Macaca fascicularis: one gene and its partners. The main gene of each other region encodes a partner of the protein of the gene in region 5 in a complex. Links are inferred from orthologs where the notes say so. Each region holds a gene or a part of one and is shown on either strand. Other genes may lie near its edges.

What was found. The genes of interacting proteins can lie anywhere in the genome.
Region 1: TADA2A (region 5) and YEATS2 share a complex: the UniProt entries of both Homo sapiens proteins name them as parts of the ADA2A-containing complex. The link is inferred for Macaca fascicularis from reciprocal best matches to the Homo sapiens genes TADA2A and YEATS2.
Region 2: TADA2A (region 5) and DR1 share a complex: the UniProt entries of both Homo sapiens proteins name them as parts of the ADA2A-containing complex. The link is inferred for Macaca fascicularis from reciprocal best matches to the Homo sapiens genes TADA2A and DR1.
Region 3: TADA2A (region 5) and MBIP share a complex: the UniProt entries of both Homo sapiens proteins name them as parts of the ADA2A-containing complex. The link is inferred for Macaca fascicularis from reciprocal best matches to the Homo sapiens genes TADA2A and MBIP.
Region 4: TADA2A (region 5) and KAT14 share a complex: the UniProt entries of both Homo sapiens proteins name them as parts of the ADA2A-containing complex. The link is inferred for Macaca fascicularis from reciprocal best matches to the Homo sapiens genes TADA2A and KAT14.

Annotation. Positions count from the first base shown.
Region 1 is NC_088376.1:95,715,066-95,720,191, reverse strand, and holds part of YEATS2 (YEATS domain-containing protein 2), read right to left. Parts: intron 4,455-5,126; coding exon 4,326-4,454; intron 3,552-4,325; coding exon 3,453-3,551; intron 2,296-3,452; coding exon 2,193-2,295; intron 1,316-2,192; coding exon 1,242-1,315; intron 1-1,241. UniProt on the Homo sapiens protein: Chromatin reader component of the ATAC complex, a complex with histone acetyltransferase activity on histones H3 and H4. YEATS2 specifically recognizes and binds histone H3 crotonylated at 'Lys-27' (H3K27cr).
Region 2 is NC_088375.1:141,039,723-141,044,848, forward strand, and holds the end of DR1 (protein Dr1), read right to left. Parts: intron 2,672-5,126; coding exon 2,525-2,671; 3' UTR 561-2,524; downstream 1-560. UniProt on the Homo sapiens protein: The association of the DR1/DRAP1 heterodimer with TBP results in a functional repression of both activated and basal transcription of class II genes.
Region 3 is NC_088381.1:104,133,236-104,137,830, forward strand, and holds the end of MBIP (MAP3K12-binding inhibitory protein 1), read right to left. Parts: intron 3,354-4,595; coding exon 3,315-3,353; intron 3,221-3,314; exon of another isoform or gene 3,050-3,220; intron 1,737-3,049; coding exon 1,629-1,736; 3' UTR 1,113-1,628; downstream 1-1,112. UniProt on the Homo sapiens protein: Inhibits the MAP3K12 activity to induce the activation of the JNK/SAPK pathway. Component of the ATAC complex, a complex with histone acetyltransferase activity on histones H3 and H4.
Region 4 is NC_088384.1:69,102,825-69,107,950, forward strand, and holds part of KAT14 (cysteine-rich protein 2-binding protein), read right to left. Parts: intron 2,436-5,126; coding exon 2,299-2,435; intron 1,026-2,298; coding exon 850-1,025; intron 614-849; exon of another isoform or gene 567-613; intron 1-566. UniProt on the Homo sapiens protein: Component of the ATAC complex, a complex with histone acetyltransferase activity on histones H3 and H4. May function as a scaffold for the ATAC complex to promote ATAC complex stability. Has also weak histone acetyltransferase activity toward histone H4.
Region 5 is NC_088390.1:43,519,113-43,524,238, forward strand, and holds part of TADA2A (transcriptional adapter 2-alpha), read right to left. Parts: intron 4,412-5,126; exon of another isoform or gene 4,351-4,411; coding exon 4,279-4,350; exon of another isoform or gene 3,735-4,278; intron 1,726-3,734; coding exon 1,593-1,725; intron 1,118-1,592; exon of another isoform or gene 1,030-1,117; coding exon 986-1,029; exon of another isoform or gene 827-985; intron 1-826. UniProt on the Homo sapiens protein: Component of the ATAC complex, a complex with histone acetyltransferase activity on histones H3 and H4. Required for the function of some acidic activation domains, which activate transcription from a distant site. Binds double-stranded DNA.

The DNA.
Region 1 (5,126 bases), on a different chromosome or scaffold from region 5:
TGAGCCACTGCAACCAGCTTGGTTTTCTTATCTATAAATTGAGAAAGCTGGGAAGATAGTATCTGAACTACCTTCCGGCTCTTGTATTCTGTATTTTTAAGGAGAGAGAAAACTGTGTCTCTGTGTGTGTGTGTGTGTGTATGTGTGTGTGTATATATGTGTGTGTGTGTGTATATGTGTATATATATACACGTATGTATATACACGTATGTATACACGTATGTATATACACGTATGTATATACACATATACACATACACACACACACACACAAACACGTATATATGAGAGAGATTTTTTTGTTTGAATTTCTTCTGTCAGGCTGGGAAACTGTCATCAAAAGTTTATTATGAGATACATCAAAATGATCCCCCAAACTTTACCTTAGAAAGAGAGACTACCGCTTTGCTATTACAGTTGGAAAAAATAAGTAGGTGGTCTGTACCTGGCGTACGTGTTCAGAGCCCTACAAATCTGAGTGGCGTGGAGGCTGCCCCTGGCTTCCCTCTGAGTGTGCATAGTGGTCTTGCCCATGAGCATGCTCCTGTGTCCGCAGGCTGCTGGCCCCTCAGCAAGGGTTATTGATTCTATCAAAACAACTGGGGCTAAGCAGCAATTTACTCAATCTAGCTAACGATGGGAGTGACACAGCACACCACTTTGGGAGGTCTTAAAAACTGTGCATTTCTACAGTGTGCAATACTGAGTTTCAGAGGAAAGATGAACGGTCTTAGAGTCAAACAGAACCAGGTTTGTATCCTGTTTCACCACCCATGGCTCTGTGATCTCAAGCAAGTTATTCAACCCTGTTTATCCTCAGTTTCCTCATCTGTAAATGCAGATGACACCAGCTACCACACAGGAGGCTGGGATTATATGAGACAGTGAACGTACCCAGCCTGCACAGGACCTGGTACACTGCAGGCAAACACTAAATGCTTTCCTCACTCATAAACGCCAAATGCTAATACAGAGTTTTAACTGCATACAAAACAATTTATGATTTACATATGAAAAATGTAAAACATTCCTTCTAAAGAACAACACAGTAAAAAGAATAAAAAACTAACTGCATATGAATTCTAAAACCCTTGCAAATGAGCTGTATCTCTAGCTGAAACCTTATAAGGTAACTGCCATTATCAATATTAATTTACAAACCCAAGTGATTTCAGTTGACTCAATACCTTAAATTCACGGCTTTAAAAAATGCACCCCTATATTCAGTGTAATTGTCTTACTTTTTGCAGTGATTAATGGAATCTTCTTTACTACTGCTGTTAAGAGTTGCTGGATAGTCTCTAAATGGTCTATCCTGAGAAGGATAAAAAAAAAATAAGGCAATAAATTAAATACATGTAGCAGTTTCTATAGCCATATGTATGCCATATACTTAATGGATATATTCCATTCTGAGGGAATTATAATGTAAAAACATCATATTAACATGTCTTTCCTTCCATAGATTACCTTCTTTGTAAAGGAAAGGTGTTCTATGCTTAAAAAGAAAATGTCAAGACTAAATAAGATCCCAGGAATGGAAGATTATGCGCGTATTACAGACAGTTAATCTACACCTTAAAATTAAATAGCAATATAATCTTTTTGCAATGTGACTGCTACTAGGGGAGAAAAATTCTGTATGCCCATCTTAGGGTTATTACAGTTCACGCCTCCATCTACCATATTAAAGGGCTAAGTTTCTATTGTCCCCAGCGGTTTGAGATACTTAAAAGTAGCTGGTCAGAAGTGGCTTCCTGATTTAGAAATTACGAAACCTCAGAAAGCATTTTAGAAGAAGCAAAGAGTGTGTATAGCCCATGAAGAGGCAGCTAAGATTAGGCAGGCGTGTGGACACCCAGTCACAAAGCACGTATACACCTGAGTGATGGCTACAGGAGAAATTTTGCGCCCAGGGGCTCAGCAGAGAAAGCCCACGCTGGCAACCTCAACTGAAGGGAGGTCTAATCCCATCTGAGGCTTCTAAGGCTACAAATCAAGTGCCACCTCCAGTCACACCACTGTATAAAATGATGACCCTCAGCTGTGCATCACTTGTCCACTACACAGGCACAGACAGTTCCTCCCATCAAGGGCTTAGAGCTACACACACAACTCTGCACATACTCAGCTGTCACAGGTGTGACAAACACCCAAAGCGGAATTCCTTTAGGAAAGACTGGAAGAATTACTTAATGACATAGTTTCCCAGCTCAGAACTTTCTTCTGTTTTCACTGCTGTCTGACCCTCCTGAGAGAGGCAGCTCGGCCCAGGTGTTTCTGGTTCAGTCTTCACTACAAGGCAAGAGCAACAAAGAGGCAGCTGTTAGGGGTTAGCAGTGGAAGGACATGTGCAGGCACAAACAAAGCTCCTGCAGTGAAGCTCAGCAAGGAAACTGCCACTCCAGCTGTTGCGGGGACACAGCCAGGGGACTGAGATGGCTCCTATCATCCCAGGGTCATCAGACAAGGGAAGAACTGTTAGCCTGGGTCTCAGGGGGGACAACTCCAGCCTCATGACAGGGCGGGGGCAATAAAATGGCTCCTCAGATATTTCTTAAAGGGCCACCCATACTGCTGTGTAAGATCCCTCACCCCCTCCCCACACATGTGATTTAACAATGCTACATTGAAGTACAATGCTGGTTTGTTCTAAGTTCTAATATTGTGACCTTTCCAATATCATCTCTCCAGCTAGTTTATCAACTTGCAGCATTATCTTAGCGTTCTGAGACACAAGGCAGAAAGCAAAAATCAGATCGCCTGTGCTTGGACACTGATGTTATCAATGTCAGCGTGTTGCTCTAATCCACCGTGCTATCCTGATCTACTCTTGTGGGCGGAAATGTCTCCCACTGCCAGCTCGCCAAAGTCTGGCCCCTACCTAAACCTCCTTTACCACAACTATACTCCCCAAATGAGTCCCTCTAACTTGCCACTTCTCCAAAGGGGAAGCTGAGTCTTTGTCTCTCTTGTGCCCTTAATCTGGCATACCCCTTGACTCCCCACAGCTAAAAAACCTCTACTCTTTTAAAGTCCAGGTTATAATCCATGGTCAATACAAAGTCTTGCCCTTCTCCACACCCCCTGCCAACCCTGATCAGACATCCCAAACTGCAATATTTCAGCAATCATTTCCCTGGCCACATGTCTTGTGTTTATCAATGATTGCTTGCTGTCTACAGCAATTCTTTTCAACCTTATTATAAATTTATTAAAGGGTAGAAATGATCCTTTATACATCTCTGTGTTTCCCTCAATGTTAAGTCTACCATATGAGTATTTAGGACACATTTGCCAAGTGGTTGATTTGCAAATGCTGAAAATTCAAAAGATTCAGATTATGGTAATGTCCTGCATAAAACTTCTGGACATCAGAAGAGAACGTGAACGACAACAAAAAAGATAAACAACAAAACTTCTGGACAAGAACTCTGTGAGATCCTATGTACCTTTTGCAACAGCTGCTGGAGCAGAGCTGGGGACAAGTGGAGTTGGGGCAGCTACAGGCAGAATGGCAGGTGGCTTGCTGGTAGAAAATGACTGAACCACTAAAGGGAGAAAAGGAGGGAGGGATATAACAAATACAGAGATTATTTTTAATGAAGGTGATCTAACTCCCAGGTGATAACCCCACATGAGACGAACAGCACACAGACAACTTGAGGACAACAGGAATTGCAAAGTCCCTTTTTACTAGTGGGTGATTATTAGGTATGAGGGTAACTGAGGTATATCTTCAACTGTAGAAACAGGAGCCTGTCACTAAACTAAGAAAGTAACAAGCCAGGCCAGGCACAGTGGCTCACGCCTGTAATCCCAGTACTTTGGGGGGCCAAGGCAGGTGGATCTTCTGAGGTCAGGAGTTCAAGACCAGACTGGGCAACATGGTGAAACCCCGTCTTTACTAAAAAAATACAAAAATTAGCCAGCTACTCAGGAGACTGAGGCATGAGAACTGCTTGAACCCAGGAGGCGGAGGTTGCAGTGAGCCGAGATCTTGCCACTGCACTCCACCCTTGGCGACAGAGCAAAACTCTGTTTCAAAAAAAAAAAGGAAAGGAAAACAACAATCCAATTAATGTAAATTCTTATAAACACTTAAAATATTCCCCCTTCAACTCAACTTTAGATAAGGGCAGCTATTTAGAAGCCAACGAACATTTGGGTTTTGAGTCCTGGCGTTGGAGCCCTAGCATTCAAGGTGCAGGGAGTACCGTGATAGCTGAAGGGTGGCTGTACATGGGCAGAGCAGTCACCACCTGGTAAATGCTGAGATACGTGGAAGCGGCCACAGCACAGAGGCCCGTGGGCAAGGCACTCACCTTTATTCACAGGCATCAGGATCGTCTGCACCCCTCCAGACGTGTTTACGCTGAGTGGTTTGAGCTGGCTGGGAATCGTCAGGACTGCCTGCTGGGGACTGGCTTGGCTGGAGTGAATCTTTAACAGTCCTAGAACAAATTGGAAGACAAGGCCACGCTGAAGGTCAGGTGCTTCGGGAAAGTCCCTTATCCTCTGTGCCACCCATATTTTGTCATGGAGGAAGTTACCTTCCAGTAAACAAAAGAGCGAGAAGCAGGAGGCAACGGATGCTGTGGATTTCACAATAAAACATCGGCATGACAATAATTGTTTATTTATTTACTTTTTGAGATGGAGTCTCGCTGTGTCGCCCAGGCTGACACGATCTTGGCTTACTGCAACCTCTGCCTCCCAGGTTCAAGTGATTTTCCTGCCTTGGCCTCCCAAAGTGCTAGGATTACAGATATGAGCCACCGTGCCCAGCCCCTATTTATTTTTATTTTTAGAGACAGGCTGTCTCCCAGGTTGAAAAGTGCAATGGTACGATCATAGCTCATTGTAACCTTGAACTCCTGGGCTCAAGCGATCCTCCTGTCTCAGCTTCCAGAGTAGCTGGGACTACAGGCATGCCATGACACACAGCTAATTTTTAATTTGTTTCTGTAGAGATGGGGTCTTGCTTTGTTGCCCAGGCTGGTCTTGAAACTCCTGGCCTCGGGCGATTCTCCCACCACGGCTTCCCAAAGCACTGGGATTTTTTTTTTTTTTTGAGTCGGATCTCGCTCTGTCGCCCAGGCTGGAGTGCAACGGTGCCATCTTGG
Region 2 (5,126 bases), on a different chromosome or scaffold from region 5:
TGGGGTATACATAATGCTCTGTATTTTGATCTGAAGACTGGTATATGAGTTTGCTTAATTTGTGAAAATCTTTATTTGTGTACTGTTCTGTGTGTGTGTGGTATATGCAGTTTTAAAAACCAATGCCTTTTAAACACTTATTAATCTGATAATCTGCCGAAAAAGATATATAACATATATTCAAGGGGATGGAAAAATACTTACTGAACAATAACTTTATTTCTCGAGAACGCTAAATATTTAGTTTCTCTCTTCAAGAGATTTAAAAAATTTTAACTGGCAAAACATAACAGTGACTCTCAAATGCTAAAAAAAAAAAAAAAAAAAAAAAAAATCTAAAAATAAAATATTGCATAAGTACCTTTGTTATGCCTCGATCTTACGACTATAAATTACAAAAACACAAGTAAAACCACATTTTTTGAAATAACAGTAAACAAAAACAAAAGGCAGGTACTACATACCAAATGACCAAAATGTCTTCTGGGCCTAAGATTCTTGAAACTAGTAAAAATTGTAATAATAGAAATCTCTCTATAGATCATTAAATATAAAAACCATTTATAAAACACATCACAATTTTATTGCTTGAAGAATACAGCATATGAAATCACAAGAATGTCAAAATGAAAAGTCACTAGGCTTCAAACGTATAATACATTATCAGATGCAGTAAAATATTAATTAACCTGAACTCTGCATCAAAAAAAAAAAAGGTGTGGAAAATATCTAAGTTGTTTACTTAAGAAACAGATATACTTAAAATAGAAAGTATAAGGATGTTACAGTACAAATTAGAAAAGCCAACACATATTAACTTATTATTGTTCTAGACTAGACTACCTTTGGTACTTAAACTTTTTAAAAAACAATTTCTTCTATCTCATCCAAATGCACTTCATGGGTATGACATCCATGAAGTAACTTCAACTTAAAACATTCAGCAAAATTAACCTTTTCACTTCATGGGGGAAGTATATTTAATAAATGTATAACAATATTTCCCTTTTACTAAAACTGCAAAATATGATCATTAAGAAACCTAATAGTTATAAAACTTTACTCACCTAGCTCTCCAATTAAAATTGAAATCCTGGGAGCCACAATCTATTTTTGGGCTTGGTGAATACATAAGTTTAAAAGATTTGGCAACTGACATAGGAATTTAATTACTTAATACTATCTTAAGTGACTTTTCCTTTCTGTTTCCAAAATATAGACACTATCCCATTTCTTCAACATCCTGGATTCCTATAATCACTACCATACTTTATTTTTTAGAACCAAATTAAAGCTTCTCTCTTTTAATAAGCAGGTAGAAACTATTTATGTTCCATATAGGGCTGATCAGTTATAACACAACTTACGTTTCATATAGGGCTGATCAGTTAATTCATATAGGGCTGATCAGTTGTAACACAACTTCTTAAGCAAAACTAATCTTTTTTTTAAAGCTATCACTCAATTATGATGGAGACAATAATGTCATCTCAAAAGGTAATGTTGGACTCTAGGCCATCTAGTCGGGAAAATGTAAAAGTAATTCTAAAAACAATAAGTAAACTATAACTACAAGTTAAATTAAAAATCCCTCTCTCATAGCAAGCATGCTCATTAACTTTCATTTCTTTCCCCCAGCAAAGGTTTGAATATTCATGAACCTCAGTTAAACCAAGGGAATCAATGCAATTGTTTCAAAAGTCCCACCTATATATTTGAATAATATGAGTATGGATGGACTAGGTAAGTAATACTATCAACAATTACTGAATTAGAGCGAAAGAGTATAAATCATGACAGACTTCCAAACTGGGCAGTCTTTGAAATGTCATAGTGGAGCTCAAAATGAATTATGTTGTAATAAAACTATAGTTTTTACCTCTACACAAAACAAAAACAAAATAAAAAAACATAACCACCAAATTTATACAACTACTATTAAACATACTCCTTCCTAGTTTTTTAATGTCTTGAAGTTTTTCTAAACAAGTATATTGATCTGAGCATATATATTTATTGCCTATATATGTTCTCATTTTAAAAGACAAATTCAGATACTACAGAACTGAACTCTTTCACCAACCCAATCCAATGTCTACTGATTCACACAGCACCCCCCCTTAATAATTTAAAATTCACAAGTTTTAGTTTAGTTAAAAGGGCAGAGGAAATGCAAATGCAGATTTAGAGCTTTGTAGAAATTTCACTGTATTTTTATAAACTTGAAGTTTTCTGTAACACTGTTTATTGATCAAATGAAGGACTTGCTGCTATCTAAAATTTCATAAACACCATTAAAAATTCAAAATTGATATTATACTGAACCTTAAATTTTCAATAGTTCAAAGAGACAGTTTTTACATGTATAGCACACAATAGATGAAACTTAATAGCAGACATCCCTAGAATACCAATGACAAGTCCACCAAGATGCATACAAAATTACAGATAAGCATTTCTTTCACCGTTTTTGTTGTGCAGGGAAAAACATTTATAGAAGAAATAGAAACTCAGCTGGTGAATTTCAGATATCATCATCATCTTCTTCATCCTGAGAAGATCCCGCCTGATTAGATGCACTGGCTGAGGCAGCAGCAAGCTGGGCTTGTTGGGCAGCTTGCTGCATTTGAAGCCATTCCTGTTGGGCCAATTCTGCTTGTTGCTGTCTAGCCTAAACAACCAAAACATTAAAAAAATGATAACAATTTTTTAAAAACCCATAATATATACACTTTCGTTAAATGTAGATTAGGCCAATTTCAGACAGTTATCATCATACATCTGGATATTGTCCAACTACTATGTAATTGTCACACACCTGGAGAACATAAACTCTATAGGTAAATATAATTAGAGATTGCTTTTTTCTAATTACACAGGTCTAAGAAATTTCTCAAACTTAGGTCTCTTATAAATGGCCCTCTTTTATTTCACGTAATTTATGACCTTTGGTTCAACTGAAGAAGTTGAAAAAGTTGACAAAACCCACAATATTCCCTCTAGCTCTTTCCCTGTACTTTTCCTTTCATTTCACTTGACTCTTCCGTACCCTCAAATTAAATTTTGATATAAACATTTTTCAATCTAAAATTTATATGGTTTAAAAGTTCTCTAGTATAGTACCTCTACCTCATATGAAGGAAGTACTATACATGTATGCAGTAGCTACCCCAATATTTCTTTCTGAGTTTCTATTACAATTCCCTAACCTACGATATGCCTATCTCTGTGTCCCTCATTCCCTCTCTGTAAGCACACACATTTGCATATACACACGTACACATACAAATATACATATCCTTTCCGTATACACACTAGTAAAAAGATACTACTTAAAATCCATTCATCTGATATATCCTCTATTAAAAACAACCACAGGATTTTAGAAACCAAGATGCATACATATGAATTACATAAGAAACAGCTAAGGCTCCTTCACAATTTAATTTTATCTGTTTGTAGAAAAACCACACCAAGAAGGGAAAAAACGAACCTGTTCTTAAAAAGGTCTTATAATTTCCCATTAGACTCTGCCAAAACAATCCTTTTCTCCTTTTCTGTCTGTTCGGGGAATTGTTCTTTAAGTCCAGCTCATACCCTCCCCTTTATGCATAGGTAATTCCTAGTCATCATTTGAAATGCAAATCAGTTAGTTTTTCTTGACCTTTCCAGGCCATATTTTATGCTCTATTTCATATACCATAATTCCCTATGCATTCCCATATCCATCCACTTTGTTCTAGAATTATCTAAGTTTATATCTTTTTTTTCCACCACACTTGAGAACAGAGATTGTTACCATATTCTTTGTTGCATTCCTAACACAAAGGCCTTCAGTATTTTCTGAATGAACATGCTACAGGAAAACAGTGATGGCCAGCATAACCAGTAACATTTAAGATTTTACCATATACAATCCTCACTCTTCTGAATAATCTGTCATGACTTTATTATCCAAACGTTTCTAGATATAAATTCTAATCAGGTCATTATTTCATTTAAAAAAAAAAAATTGTTATCAATCAAATCCAAATTTCCTAGCCTAGAGTTCAAGGTCCTCCAAATTAGTGTCTACCCCAACTTCTCTATAGTCTTTTCTTGTAACATGCACTTTGTGCTTCAAAAAAGCCTAGAATACAAAATGTTTCCCAAATTTACACCATACTTCCTCATCTTTGCTATTTTTACTCATGCTGACATTCATCCTATGTGAAATTTCCTGCCACTTACTGAAATTTTACCCTTCCTTCAAGTCAAACTGAAATACTATTTTCTCCTCCTGGTATCAGTCAGTGTATAATCAAGAGAAAGAAGTCACACGAGTTACTGGAATGGAAAAAATTTAATATAAAGAACTGTTAAACAAGTATAAAGTTGTTTTTAGGCAGCTGAAAAGGCAGGAAGAGAACATTAAGATGTCATGAAAGTAGCTACAGGAAGCAGCCACCAACCCTAAAACTGGGGGAATAGAGGAAAATGCTGGAATTTTTAAAATTTAGACGCTTAACGAAACCACTTCATGGAACTGAAACTCAGACCTCGGAAGAATGGGCATAGATAAGCTAGTACTAATATATCCGTGCTTGGACGAGGGCCCCAGGGGTTGCGATCCACACCGCCAGAGTGGGGGGATGGAGCGCGGGTTCAGGCGGGTTGTGTATTAGAGAAAATGCAAACAGGATTCAGTCTCTGCTACAGGAAAACTGATGCAACCAGGATGAAGAAGTGTTGCTGGTTTGTTCAAAGGAACTGAAAGACAAGAGAAAGTAAAAGGAGAAAACCCTTTGTCTTCCTCCATCCATGCAATCTCCCACGAGAACCCCATACTGGCAACAGAGTCTAATGGAGAGTCAGCTAGCAAAGAAACATGTGGCTTACAGAGTACTAGGTCCAGTCACAAAGCAGAGCACACAAAGGTGGTTCTGGAGCTAAGCTAACTGCTTACTAGTTGGCATACTCCTGCACCCCCAAAAATTGATGTAATGTTTCCATACTTGAGATTTCTTTCTTTCTCTTTCCTTCTCTCTTTCTATTTTTGTAGAGATAGGATCTCACTATATTGCTCAGGCTGGTCTCGAACTCCTGGGCTCAAGTGATTCTCCCACCTGGGCCTCCCAAAGTGCTAG
Region 3 (4,595 bases), on a different chromosome or scaffold from region 5:
GGCGGGCAGCTCTGCCTGCAGCCCAAGTGCAGGATCCACTAGGTGAAGCCAGCTGGGCTCCTCAGCAGGGTGAGGACTTGGAGAACTTTTCTGTCTAGCACTCTGTGTCTAGCTCAAGGATTGTAAATGCACCAGTCGGCACTCTGTCTAGCTCAGGGTTTGTAAATACACCAGTCAGTACTCTGTGTCTAGCTCAAGGTTTGTAACTACACCAATTGGTACTCTGTTTATAGCTAACTCTGTATCTAGCTGAACCTAGTGGGGACTTGGAGAACTTTTCTGTCTAGCACTCTGTCTAGCCCAAGGATTGTAAATACACCAATCAGCTCTCTGTAAAGTGGACCAATCAGCAGGATGTGGGTGGGGTCAGATAAGGGAATAAAAGCAGCCTGCCCGAGCCAGCAGTGGCAACCCGCTCTGGTCCCCTTCCATACTGTGGAAGCTTTATTCTTTCACTCTGCAATAAATCTTGCTGCTGCTTTCTCTTTGGGTCCATGCTGCCTTTATGAACTGTAACACCACGAAGGTCTGCAGCTTCACTCCTGAAGCTGAGACCACGAACCCACTGGGAAGAATGAACAACTCCAGATGCGCTGCCTTTAAGAGCTGTAACACTCACCACGAAGGTCTGCAGCTTCACTCCTGACAGTGAGACCATGAGCCCACCAGAAGGAAGAAGCTCCAGACACAGCTGAACGTCTGAAGGAACAAACTCCGGACACACCATCTTTAAGAACTGTAACACTCACCACAAGGGTCTGCGGCTTCATTCTGGAAGTCAGTGAGACCAAGAACCCACCAATTCTGGACACAATAATGTATGTACTGCCTAATAACTGGGGTATTGTAAAGGTGAGGCTCTCAAAAGAGAGGTACTATAATTTCTTTGTAACATCCTAATTGCTGTCCAAAACCAGACCTGGTTTTATAATATTAGCTAACATTTACTGAGCAATTCCCTTGAGACAGACAGTTTCAAACATACATGATCTCACCTCTTCTTCATAACAGTAAGGTAGTTTCTATTACTGTCATTCCCATTTCACAGACTGGGAAATGAGGACAAAGACAGATTAAGTAAGTTGTTCAAAGTCACACAGTCAATAAAGGGATAAAGCTGGATCTATTGTTTATTTACATGAATACTGACATCTTAGAAATTAAGAAAAACAAGTTCATACATCCATTTAAAATTCATTTCAGTCAATAAATTTTTGTTGAATGCCTATTATATGCAAAGTACTGATTTAAACTAATAAACTGGTTAACACCAATGTTACAAATATAAAGTCCTTTTAAAGTATCAATATCAAAATAAATTTTCCTTTCTGTGGTCCACAAAAGAAAAAAGATGTACCAGCACTTTTAAATTAAGTTTTTCAATTTCCAAAATACCTCCTTTAAAACAGAAGGGAATAAATTCCAACAATGCTATTTTCAACACATTCATTATTTAAAAACTTACTGGAATATCTGAAGATTACTTGCTGCAAGCTGGACTCGTGAAAATAAACCTTGACTTCACAGAGAAGTCTACATTGATAAATATATATCCGTTGAATTAATAACAGTGTAAGTTACACATATGTATACAAAAAAGTAAAATGACAAGGATGGAGAGGAGTTTTTCATGGAAGGTGGTGGGTTGCCATGGATTCTGCTTCTCTTGATTTTCTGAGGAGGGCTTGTTTGAGGGCACTAATTTTCTCATCAAGTTCAGCCAGTGAATAGTTCTGCTGTAAACAATAACGACACAAATTGCTGAATAAGATTCTGAAGTATCTTAATGCAGATAAAGTGCCAAATGAACTATAAATATTTAAAATATTTAAAAGCATGATCAAATGGGTTTTTTTCCCTCATGAGAATAATCTTAAACCTGCACAACTATATATGTTGACTATATCATAAATTTAAAAGCATAAAATAACAAGGCTTAAATATTTCTCTTTTCTAATGATTAAGCTCTCCTGAACCTTTTATACTTTGAAAGAATAAGTTTACAAAAAAAAAAAAAAAGCCTGATTATTAGACACTGGAGCCTATTTGAAGATGGGAGGAGGGAGAGGACTGAAATATTGCCTATCGGGTATTATGCTGATTACCTGGGTGACAAAATTATCTGTACACCAAACCTCCGTGACATGCAATTTACCCATGTAACAAACCTGAAAACCCCTTGAGCTTAAGTAAAAGTTGGAAAGAAGAAGAAAAATGCTAATTATACTACTACCAGGAGAAAAAAATCATTTGAGATATCAGCTATCCCTTTTAATAGAAAACTTTCTATGTTGATTACTAAAGTTAACCTGAAGTGGAAAACAGTGAAGAAAACACTCCTTTTGCTTTCCAATAAAAATTGGATTTGTTCAAGTCTATCTATGTGAACACCCTCACTTGCATTAATATTTCTAATTTAGACACAAGTATTATGTGGTGACTATTAGGGGGTAAAGAGAAAGGGAAATTGGGACTGAGTGCTAATAGGTACAGGGTTGGGGCGGTGATGGAAATGTTCTAGACTTAGTGGTGATGGTTGTACAACATAGTGAACATACTAATAGCCACTTTAAAATTATGAATTTTATGTTATGTGAATTGTATTTTTAAAGCAGCAACAAAGTGTTACAGTTTACTACATAAGAGTAACTTTTAAAAACCTGATTATTCTCATAATCAATAGTAAAAAAAGTTAACTTTAAAAATAACTGCTTAAAATACCTAGAAATTCTCTCTTGAGGGATCAACTACAATAATTTACTTCTGGAAAAAATAATTGCTATCAAAAAATTTACTCGGAATTTTTTAAGAAAAAAAATGCTACTCTTAAAAATTAGAAAGTCTTCTCCAACTTTAAATTCACATTACCACTATTAAAGTCTAGCAAAGCCTTATTATTTAAGGTTCAACTAATTAGTAAAGTAGCACTTTAGACAGGGCCAGCTGAAGTCAAACTCTGCCAAACACCCTTTTTGATGTAGATGCTACTAATCAGAAGTGTTCACAAAAGGAAGGGATGGGGGGAGACTGAAATTACTTGAGCACTTACTATTTTTAAGCACTTGATGAATGACACATCCTTGTACTACTAAAAGCAGGACAAAGGTTTTATTTATTTAACCTATCTGAGTCATTCCATGCCCTTAAAAGAATTTTTCTATTCAAGTATATTAGTTTATACTGCCCTTTTCTTCAGTCGTAAATTGTACCAGGGTATGACCTAAAAGCAACCATAGTAGAAACTTTTATTAATAAGAAAGGTATAAAACTAATCAAACTATTTCAGAAACCAAAATGAAAATGCAGTAACTTACTTGAGGTGGTTGAACTTTTCTTCTTTTTCCAGAAAAGCTCTAGATTTTAAAAAAAAGTAATCAACGTTTAAAAAAATCTAAGCATTATTTTTTTCTTTATGAAATACCGTACAAATTACGTACAGCCTTGGGAACTCTGACAGAAAGAAAGCCAACCAATTTACCAATACCAATTATTGTCTGTAACCAACATCCACCTTATATTCTGCAAGTTACCCTCTAAAGAGGATGACATTAACAATATATAATAATAATACTGCAGCAACATGCTTATCTTTGGCAATACATATTTTCCCATCAATTACCAGCTTCTAATGAGCCTGGGTGATTGTGGAAAGAGGTGCTCTGGGGATTTTCTGCTTAGTTTTTTTTTATAACCTTTCCATCCCAGGGTGTTGAACAAGCGAAGTGACAATAGACAAAGGAAAAATATAATCTGGTATATGAGGCCAAGAGGTGAAAACACACACACACACACCCTGGACTGACTATAATGGACACTGTGGTTGTTTATGCAAGGAGCTACCTATCCACTGCTTCTCTGTGTGGCCCAAGCCAATGGCTTCCTGGTCTTATCAGTGACTGAAATGGGCATGGGTCCAGTTCTGGCCAATGAGTAAAGGAGAAGACTGCTGGAGATTAAGAGGAGAACTTCTGGAAAAAGCTTCCTCACATCTTTTGAGAGAAAGCCCTCAAAGAAGGCAGTTTCTCAGGATACTGCTGTATCTGGGTAAGACACCTGAAAGTGCTGTAGCCATCTTGCCATCTGCCTGGGAAAGAAGGTAACACCAAGCAGAGTTAAGAGGGGAAAGAAACCTATTTTCTTACAATTATGATTTAGTCACTGAATCAATTAAATCTGAAGCTTGTGCTACCATGGACTTCCTATTTTATAGTTTACATAATGTTTAAGCCAATTTTGAGTTCAAATTTCTTACAGTTGAAGCTGACAACATTCTCATTGATCCACTAATGAGCCTTTTAAATCTTGGTCTAATGAATTCTTCCTAGACTTTTTCTTAGTTTCACACAAGCACTAGCTTTTAAATGGCAAATTAGTAAACTAGTATATTTAACAAACTGAATCTCAGAGACAAAATGTTCTCATGAGCATTTCTGACTATTGAAATTTTGAAGATAGCATTAAAACTCACATTTTCCTTTGTGTCAAAAGTTGATTCAAAGAACATCTAGGTATGCTTCTTATCAAGTTACAATAAGTTGGAAATCATTAAGTATTAGAATTAGTAATTATGAAATAATAGAGTTCAGATAATTATG
Region 4 (5,126 bases), on a different chromosome or scaffold from region 5:
ACAAACGATACCTTTCACAAAAAAATAAGTAAAATATGGTTCTATGCATAATGTATGGAAGGCACCTAACATAAGGGCAGGAAGCAGAAGATGATCCCAGAATGTTACTTTTGGCTCAATATGACTCCCAAAAGAGTGAGTGCAGCTCTGCCACCACATGCACGGTTATGTGATTATGTGACAATAAAGACGACACAGCTCTAATCTTGATGAAATCGTATCTAACACCTGAAAGGTACGTATTATTTCCTTTAGGTTTCAAGGCAGCATGGGAAAGCAGATCCACAAAGAACAGTTTATATTTAGCAATGAAAATGTGTTCCTTTAATTAATGACTTTGGTCTTCAGAGGCAATTTTGTTAAGGCTGATAAAATGACAAATTATACTGGGCCTACCCTTATTCTCAAAGTCTGTGATCAGGGTATTTGGCTTTTAAAAAACACCTTCTGGCTGTACTAACACTCTCTAAGGAACAGCTAAATAAACATAAAGAATTATTAAGCCAAAAACAAAAGTGTCCAAACACGCCCAAGCTACCAGTCTGTGTATCTTTGATAGACATTACCTGGTATCTAAATATATGCAGAAGCAAAACAGGATGAATCTTTTACTCTGGAAGCAGAGACAAACAGGGAAGAGAAACAAACAAAAACACTGTTTATTGCTGGCTTCTTCTAGATTTTAGGAAAATAAGAGGTATTTGTATTTTAGTATTTCTATATTAGCAGAGACAAACTAAATGAAATCATAAATAAAAATCTTAAGGCTATCACATAAACTAATTTTAAAAATTGCTAGAATGGACTGTACAGAAAAATGACCCGCCTGGTTTGGGAGGGGGAACATACCAGGCCAAAAAAACTCCTGACACATGGAGTTGATCGTTGGGATGTGATTTGGCCGCACGTAACAGTAATCGAGAGGCGCGTCGGGCTCCGGCGTCCAGTGAGGGTCACTCCTGTGCAGGTGGGAACGAATCTGTGACAGGAGCTGCAGTTTGGGTGGCTTTGTTTCATAATCACGCCTCCGGTACCACAGAAGATAAACAAATTCAAGTCAAGAAAAATACCTGGTATTATTCCTAGCTTTTTGACTCATGTAAACTCTTTGATCTGCTTGAAACTTTAAAGTAACCTGCACTGTTTTACACGAAGCTGGCTTGATTACAGCTATACTTTTATGTATGAAACCTAAAATTCACTCTGAACATTCATCAGGCTAAAGCCCTCTGTACCCACCAGGGACTGTGCCAGGTGCCTTCATGAACAAAGTGAGGAAACAGAAACAGCATCAGATTCACCCCGAGGAGTCAGACATGAGGATGCATCTCCAGTGCCTTGGAGGCCAGAAGAGGGAACATTCAACTTTGTGGGGCATTTGGGGAACACCAGAGACAAAGTGAGCTTGGAGCAGGCTCATAAACAGCTTCTCACTGCGCCTGCCCAGGAATGTGGTGCTGGCATGGAGGGTGAGGGTGATCATGGAGCTTCAGGGCAGTTGGAGTGCAATGAGTGCAATAATGTGCTCTCATTTACAGTGCCAGACACTGCTGGGACCTCTCTAGCAAGCTCAGCTTCCATTTCATTGCCTGGACAATGAGATTCATTATTGGAAACTGTTTCATATACATCCAGTCTAGATGGAGGCTCAACTGAGACGTCTTTCACATTTTTTCACTTCAGACTACTAAAAATATACAACTTTAGTATTTAAAATAACATAATGAGGGCTGGGCCCAGTGGCTCACGCCTGTGATCCCAGCACTTTGGGAGGCCAAGACGGGCAGATCACTTGAGGTCAGGAGTTCAAGACCAGCTTGGCCAACATGGTGAAACCCTGTCTCTGCTAAAAATACAAAAATTACCTGGGCTTTGTGGTGCATGCCTATAATCCCAGCTACTCAGAAGGCTGAGGCAAGAGAATTCCCTGAACCCCGGAGGTGGAGGTTACAGTGAGCCAAGATTGCACCACTGCACCCCAGCCTGGGTGACAGGGCGAGAGTCTGTCTCAAAAAATAATAATAATAATAAAATAATGATTATGATAATCACAAAGCAATCTTTCAGTTAATTTATTCTTCCTTTTTAAGTTTCTTTCAAAGGACCATGTTCTCTGTAAAAAAGTAGAGTTGAGACAAGCAAAGGACAAAACTGGAGGTGAAGCACAGAACTCAGTCCTTGCCAATGCTGCTCACAGTTTGTGATCTTTATTCTCTCCAACAGGAGAATAGGGCACAGAAACCACAATCATTATCTCTTATGACACACCTGACATCACATCTCTAGTTCTCCATTTACCTGATATAAGGTTTCAAGATCCGAGAGGTATAAGGGCTGACAATACTCTGGTCCACAGCCATATCTTCTGATCCGACCAAGCGATACAAAAACTTGGTGGTCTGGTGTCGAAATCCCTTCCTGGATGGCAAGGAAGTCTATGAGAAAGAAACACTGGTTATACAGAAATAAAATTACTCAGGCCGGGCGTAGTGGCTCACGCCTGCAATCCCAGCACTTTGGGAGGCCAAGGCGGGCAGATCACAAGGTCAGAAGATCGAGACCATCCTGGCTAACACGGTAAAACCTCGTCTCTACTAAAAATACAAAAATTAGCTGGCCGTGGTGGCAGGTGTGCCTGCAGTCCCAGCTACTTGGGAGGCTGAGGCAAGAGAATGGCATGAACCCAGGAGGTGGAGCTTGCAGTGAGCCGAGATCTCGCCACTGCACTCCAGCATGGGCGACAGAGAGAGACTCCGTCTCAAAAAAAAAAAGAAAAAAAAAAGAAACAAAATTACTCTGAGGATTGGTTAATTTCCATATAATTAGTATCGTATTTTTATGTGTCAAAAAGTAGGTCTTTTTGTATTACTTATTTGGAAAGTTCAAACTTCAATACAAAGTTTGTAGACACCTTTGCATAAAACTAGACATAAAAAACTAACCCCAGCTGTTTAAAATCAAAATAGTAATTTTAAAATTACGAAATCATTAAAAAAAATTTTTAACTCATTACAGTGAGAGAGATACAGGATTGAACACTGGATTTCCAGCTTCTCTAGGCTTCACTTTGTCTATATTATGCCTTCAACCCATTCACTAAATATTAACCAGCACTACTATCAAGTAGGTAACACACACGGGTCATATTATATGATCACTCTGTTATCCAAAGAGCCACTGGGGCCAACTACTACTGTATATAGAATTTTTGAAATACATTTCTGATATGGTTTGGCTCTGTGTTCCCAGACAAATCTCATCTTGAATTGTACTCCCTTAATTTCTTTGTGTTGTGGGAGGGGCCTGGTGGGAGATAATTTGAATCATGGGGGCAGTTTCCACCATACTGTTCTCGTGATAGTGAATAAGCCTCACGAGATCTGAGGGTTTATCAGGGGTTTCTGCTTTTGCATCTTCCTCATTTGTTTCTTGCCACTGCACTCTAAGAAGTGTCTTTTGCCTCCTGCCATGATGCTGAGGCCTACCCAGCCATGTGGAACTGTAAGTCCAATTAAACTTCTTTTTCTTTCCAGTCTTGGGTATGTCTTTATCAGCAGCATGAAAACGGACTAATATAATAAATTGGTACCAGGAGTGGGGTGTTGCCAAAAAAATATCTGAAAATGTGGAAATGACTTTGGAACTGGGTATAAGGCAGAGGCTGAAACAGTTTGGAGGGCTCATAAGAAGACAGGAAAATGTGGGAAAGTTTGGAACTTCCTAGAGATTTGTTGAATGGCTTTGACAAAAATGCTGACAGTGATATGAACAATAAGGTCCAGGCTGAGGTGGTCTCAGATAGAGATAAGGAACTTGTTGGGAATTGGAACAAAGGTGACTCTTATTATGTTTTAGCAAAGAGACTGGCGGCATTTTGTCCCTGCCCTAGAGATCTGTGGAACTCTGAATTTGAGAGAGATGATTTAGGGTATCTGGTGGAAGAAATTTCTAAGCAGCAGAGCATTCAAGAGGTGACTTGAAGGACAAGCATGGTGGCTCATGCCTGTAATCCTAGCACTATGGGAGACTGAGGTGGGCGGATCACCTGGGGTCAGGAGTTCAAGACCAGCTTGGCCAACATAGTGAAACCCTGTCTCTACTAAAAATACAAAAATTAGCCGGGCATAGTGGCACACACCTGTAATCCCAGCTACTTGGGAGGCTGAGGCAGGAGAATCACTTGAACCTGGGAGGCAGAGGTTGCAGTGAGCCGAGATCGCACCACTGTACTCCAGCCTGGACAACAGAGCAAGACTCTGTCTCAAAAAAAAAAAAAAAGTGATTTGGGTGCTGTTAAAAGCATCCATTTTAAAAGGGAAACAAGACATGAAAGTTCAGAAAATGTGCAGCCTGACAATGCAATAGAAAAGAAAAACTCATTTTTTGAGGAGAAATTCAAGCTGGCTGCAGAAATTTCCATAAGTAACAAGGAGCCCAATGTTAATCCCCAAGACAATCTCCAGGGCATGCCATAGGTATTCATGGCAGCCCCTCCCATCATAGACCTGGAAGCCTAGAAGGCAGCCTGGGGACTTGCTGCCCTGCACCCCAGCCGCTCCAGTCATTGCTAAAAGGGGCCAAGAAACAGCTCAGCCCATGGTTTCAGAGGGTGCAAGCCTCAAACCTTGGCAGCTTCCACTTCATGTTGAGCCCGAGGGCGCACAGAAGTCAAGAATTGAGGTTTGGGAACCTCCACCTAGATTTCAGAAGATGGATGGATACACCTGGATGCCCAGGCAAAAGTTTGCTGCCGGGGCAGGGTCCTTATAGAAAATCTCTGCTAGGGCAGTGCAGAGCCCTCCACAGAGTCCCTACTGGGGCACTGCCAGTGGAGCTATGAGAAGAGGGCCACTGTCCTCCAGACCCAAGAATGGCAGATCCACCGACAGCTTGCACTGTGCAATTAGAAAAGTTGCAGACACTCAATGCCAGCCCATGAAAGCAGCCAGGGGGAGGGCTATACCCTGCAAAGTCACAGGGGTGGAGCTGCCTAAGACTTTGGGAACCTACCTCTTGCATCAGTGTGACCTGGATGTAAGATAAGGAGTTGAAGGAGATCATTTTAGATCATTTAGAATTTGCCCTGCTGTAATTCAAGCTTGCATGGGCCCTGTAACCCCTTTGTT
Region 5 (5,126 bases):
GGCGGAGGTTGCACTGAGCCAAGATCATATCACTGCACTCCAGCCTGGGTGACAGAGCAAGACTCCATCTCTCCAAAAAAAAAAAAAAAAGTCCCTAAAGTGGACAAATCTGAGACCCAGATCCTGAATCTGCTGAGACATACCTCCCCAAATTGCCAGTCATCGATTACCTATCACCAAGGATCATCAGATAGCATATGGCCTAATCTTGCTCGGTATACTAATCTCAAACTAGGACATACTCAAAGAGGTAAAAGTAAGAAATAAAAATACTTTAGGTCTCCAACTTAGAAATCCTTATGTTTCTAGCAAGTAACATGCTTCTTTGCTCATGTTATATAAAAATAAAAAGCTTAGGCTGGGCACAGTAGCTCACACCTGTAATTCCAGCACTTTGGGAAGCCGTGGTGGGTGGATCACTTGAGGTCAGTTCCAGACCAGCCTGGCCAACATGGCGAAAGTGTCTTTACCAAAAATACAAAAATTAGCCAGGCATGGTGCCACACGCCTGTAATCCCAGCTACTCGGGAGGCTGAGGCAGGAGAATCACTTGAACCCAGGAGGCAGAGGTTGCAGTGAGCTGAGATCACACCACTGCACTCCAGCCTGGGGGACAGACCAAGACTCCATCTCCAAAAATAAGTAAATAAATAAAAAATAATAAAATAGAAAGCTTTTAATTTATCTCCTGTGAAATAAGTCTCAAAATTCGTGGTAGACACAACTGCAGTAAACTAATTGCTCATGAACATTGGTAAAATAAGTTACCTCTCTGAAGTTCTTTTTTCCCGTCTCTATGCTCTCTATACTCTCACTCTGAGGATAGTCTCTGTCTGGCCATGAAGATTCTGAAAACATACTGATGTTTACTATTATTCTGCCTAAGCACCCTGACACCACAGAGGAAGGAAGATTGCTGGGTCACCATAACCCCTACGATGCAAACTTCACAATTAAGACTTGTTCTGGCCTGAGAAATAATTACCTGAATTCGAAGCCATTGGAATGGAAGGACTCAGGCCGGAATCACTACAACAAAGAAGAGGAATTTAAACTTAGGTCATATCAAACAAGGTGATTTCCAAAAGCCCCTGTGAGACTGGGTGCCGTTTATCAGGTAGGTCACCTTGAAGAAGTGTAACGAGACAGACTGAACTATGTTTTATAGATATCTCACTGTATTGAGCAGGAAAGCAAATCTGTTCTAAGGAAGAAAAATTCCTCAGATTTGTTAAGAAAAGCTTGTAGTCTAGAACACCACTAACACCACTCAAGGGGAAGGGATACAAACATGATTCTCCAGTGAAAATCCAGGTATGAAGAGAGAGTTGAAGTCATGGGTAGAAGGCTAGGGGAAAATTCACTCATTTTTAAAAATAAGATCAAAGTAGTAAAGTTTGATTCTAGGAGGTCAGTTGTTTCTCAAAACTATCAGTATGGCACTGGTTCTGTGAGATGGACTGCTAAAATATTTCTGAATTCTTCTAGCTACTCAATTATTATTACTCTGCCATCTAGGGTGCCCAAAAATACATGCTAAGGCCAAGGCATCCCAGAAAGAATGCCTCCTTCACCCTGGAGTAATTACTCACATGTCAGCTTGCCGGCGGAGCCACTGCTGGCAAGCGCTACTGTCTTGGATATACTGGAGAACTTCTGAGAGCATAGTGCGTTTAAGGCGCTCCTCCTCCCGTGTCTTCTTGAGGTGATCGTAGGTTCTGGCACCTGAGGGTATAGAAAACACAGTGACCACAATGACAATGCAGCAGAACTGAAGGGCTTTCTAACTGACCAAGAAACTGGTTTTGGGTTTTGTTGTTAAAGTCTATTTCCTTTGCAAAACTGCTTTCACAATTATTTCTCCAAGACCCAAGTAGATTTTCCCTAGTTTGAAATCCTTTTCTTAACACTAAGTATTAAATATTTGTATTCCTTTTCTATCTGTAAGAAATTTGGGAGAAAAAAAACAATAGAAAAGTACAAAGAAAATAAGAATTGCTCATACTTCCACCCTCAAAAAGTAACCAACTTTTACTGTAGTCGTAGTTGCTTCCTGTTTTTTCTATTTTTATAAATTTTTTCAAAGTCACACATGTGCTATAAGCATATGCCTTTCCTTTAAAAACAATTAGAATTACAAAAAAAGAGTTCTCTTTGACATGTAGTACCTCTTCTCTATATTTCTCAGAGGCAGCCAATATCAGGAAACCAAAATTAATTATCAGAGTCTCTATATGCATCTTGCTAACAGAAGAGTTGTGTGGTGTTTTCTACATGTTAAAAAAGGTTCACAGATTCCAAAATACTGCACCAGTGGGTTTCAAAATTCAAACTAGGTTCCACAGAGCCCCAGGATACCATAGGAGTATCTTAGAGGTTAATGTAAAGAGAAAGGGCACTGCCAGATACCAGCGGTCCTGGGCTCTACACATAACTTGAACCATTAAAGTTCAACCAAAGTAATTCCACTTTTATCTTATTTGTAGATTGGGGCTCCACACAAAATTTAATTTTAAAAATGGTTTCCACTGTTAAAGAACCATTATATTAGGCTGAACTTACATCCATAAGGTTATGTTGCACCCAAAGGGCTGTGTTAAGAAGTCAACTATTGCCGGGCGCGGTGGCTCAAACCTGTAATCCCAGCACTTTGGGAGGCTGAGGCGGGCGGATCACCTGAGGTCAGGAGTTCGAGATCAGCCTGACCAACATGGAGAAACCCTGTCTCTACTAAAAATATAAAAAAAAAAAAAATTAGCTGGGTATAGTGGCGTGTGACTGTAGTCCCAGCTACTCAGGAGGCTGAGGCAAGAGAATTGCTTGAACCTAGGAGGCGGAGGTCATGGTGAACCAAGATGGCACCACTGAACTCCAGCCTGCGCAACAGAGCCAGACTCCATCTCAAAAAAAAAAAAAAAAGAAGCCAACTATTTCTTATAGGTAGTAGGTGATAGCTGTCAATAATCACAAAGACTTCAAATAGGAAGAAGGAGGGAGTGCTAAAGATCATTCCAACAATGACAGCAAAACAATAGAAACTGCCATTTATTAAGGATTTATTGTGTGCCAGATACCGTGCTATGCTTATATGCAGTATCTCTAATTAAATCTTTACACTAAGAACCTTAGAAAATTAAAACTTGAATAGAGGCCAGGCACAGTTGCTCACACCTGTAATCCCAGCACTCTGAGAGGCCAAGGCGGGAGGACTGCTTGAGGCCAGGAGTTTGAGATCAGCCTGGGCAACATAGCAAGGCCAGTCTCTAGGGGGAAAAAAAAAAGAAAAAAAGGAAAGAAAAGAAATGTAGATAGAATCACATCGCAGAGCTGGTAAACTGGAGAGCCAAAATTTATACTCAAGCTTTTTAAGTCTAGACCCAAGCTCTTAACTACTATAATACACTATCTCTTACGATCTGGTTCTAGTACTAACTAGCTCTGTAACCTCTTTATACCTTAATTTCTTCATTAAATGGAAGTAATGGTACTTTGTAAGTTTGTCATGAGAATTCAGTGACTTGATCCAAGTGAAATGGTTAGCATAGAGACTGGTACATGGTAAACATCTGATAGATGTTAGCTGCTAATAATATAATTATTGTCACTACACCAAGTAACTGGGATACAAGCACCTAGAGCCAGTTGAAGCTTCATTATTTTATAAAAATGCTAAGGCCATGTATCATTAAATTTGAAAAGGGTGACAGTCCTTTTTTTTTTTTTTTTTGAAACAGAATCTCCCTCTGCCGCCCAGGCTGGAGTACAGTGGCACAATCTCAGCTCACTACAACCTCTGCTTCTCAGGTTCAAGTGATTCTTGTGCCTCAGCCTTCTGAGTAGTTGGGATTAAAGTGTGCACCACAATGCCTAATTTTTGTATTTTTAGTAGAGATGGGCTTTCACCATGTTGGTCAGGCTGGTTTCGAACTCCTGGACTCAAGTGACCCACCTGCCTTGGCCTCCCAAAGTGCTGGGATTACAGGCGTGAGAGAGTCACTGCACCTGGCCCAAGATTCTCTTTTTATAAAGAGCCTTGGCAGAATCCTAAATCTAAAGCAGCACCTCTCTTTCCTTTGTCTCATAACTTTTATTTTACCAAAGATAATCTATGTAAAGGTATTTATAGGGATTAAGTAGCCAAAACTTTACTGGAAAGATTTAAAGCATTCTGGTAAAGAATAGCTTATGTTTTAAAAAAAATTCACAACTCAGAGACTTCCTCTGTGTGTTTGGAAGACACTTGCCCTCAGGTACGGTATGTAGCTGAAGCATACTTACTACAAAAATTGGTAATGCCTGCTGTCCTGTATTCTTGGAGCCTCTTGATTTCCCTTCGGAGTTCAAATTCCACTGTTTTCCCCAAAAGGAATGAAGGAAAAAGTTACAAAAATAAAAGCAACATCAGTGAGCACTTTTGCTATTGAGCATTTTCATTAATTCTGCCTTATAAGACTAGGTAAGTTCATTTGGAGAATCCTACTTGTTGGTAACTTCTCATTAGAAATTTTACCCAAGAGCTGAGGAAAACCTACTCCAGCTGTCTTCCAGCTGCTGTCTCCAGAGGCAGCAGCTGGAACTGTCTTCTAGAAAACTTAGTGAAATGGTTGAATTCATTTGTCTACAAAAGGAACAATTTTTTTTTTTTTTTTTTTTTTTTTTTTGAGACAGAGTCTCGCTCTGTCCTCCAGGCTGGAGTGTAATGGCATGATCTCGGCTCACTGCAACCTCCACCTCCCAGGCTCAAGCGATTCTCCCTGCCTCAGCATCCTGAGTAGCTGGGATTACAGACATCCACCACCACACCCGGCTAATTGTTGTATTTTTAGTAGAGATGGGGTTTTGCCATATTGGCCAGGCTGGTCTCAAACTCCTGACCTCAGGTGATCCAACCACCTTGGCCTCCAAAAGTGCTGACATTACAGGAATGAGCCACCGCACCCGGCCAAATATAATTTTTTTTAACAATCAAGTTTCCCTGCTCTAACTATCTTCTGTTAAAAGTTCCACCCACATGACCAAGTTCTTTTATGAAACCTATTACTTGACGTGGCCCTGATGCAAGGGAAGGACAAAAGCTCTGTGTGCAAGCCCCTGTAAGTTTCTTTGCAGCTTTATTCCTATAGGAA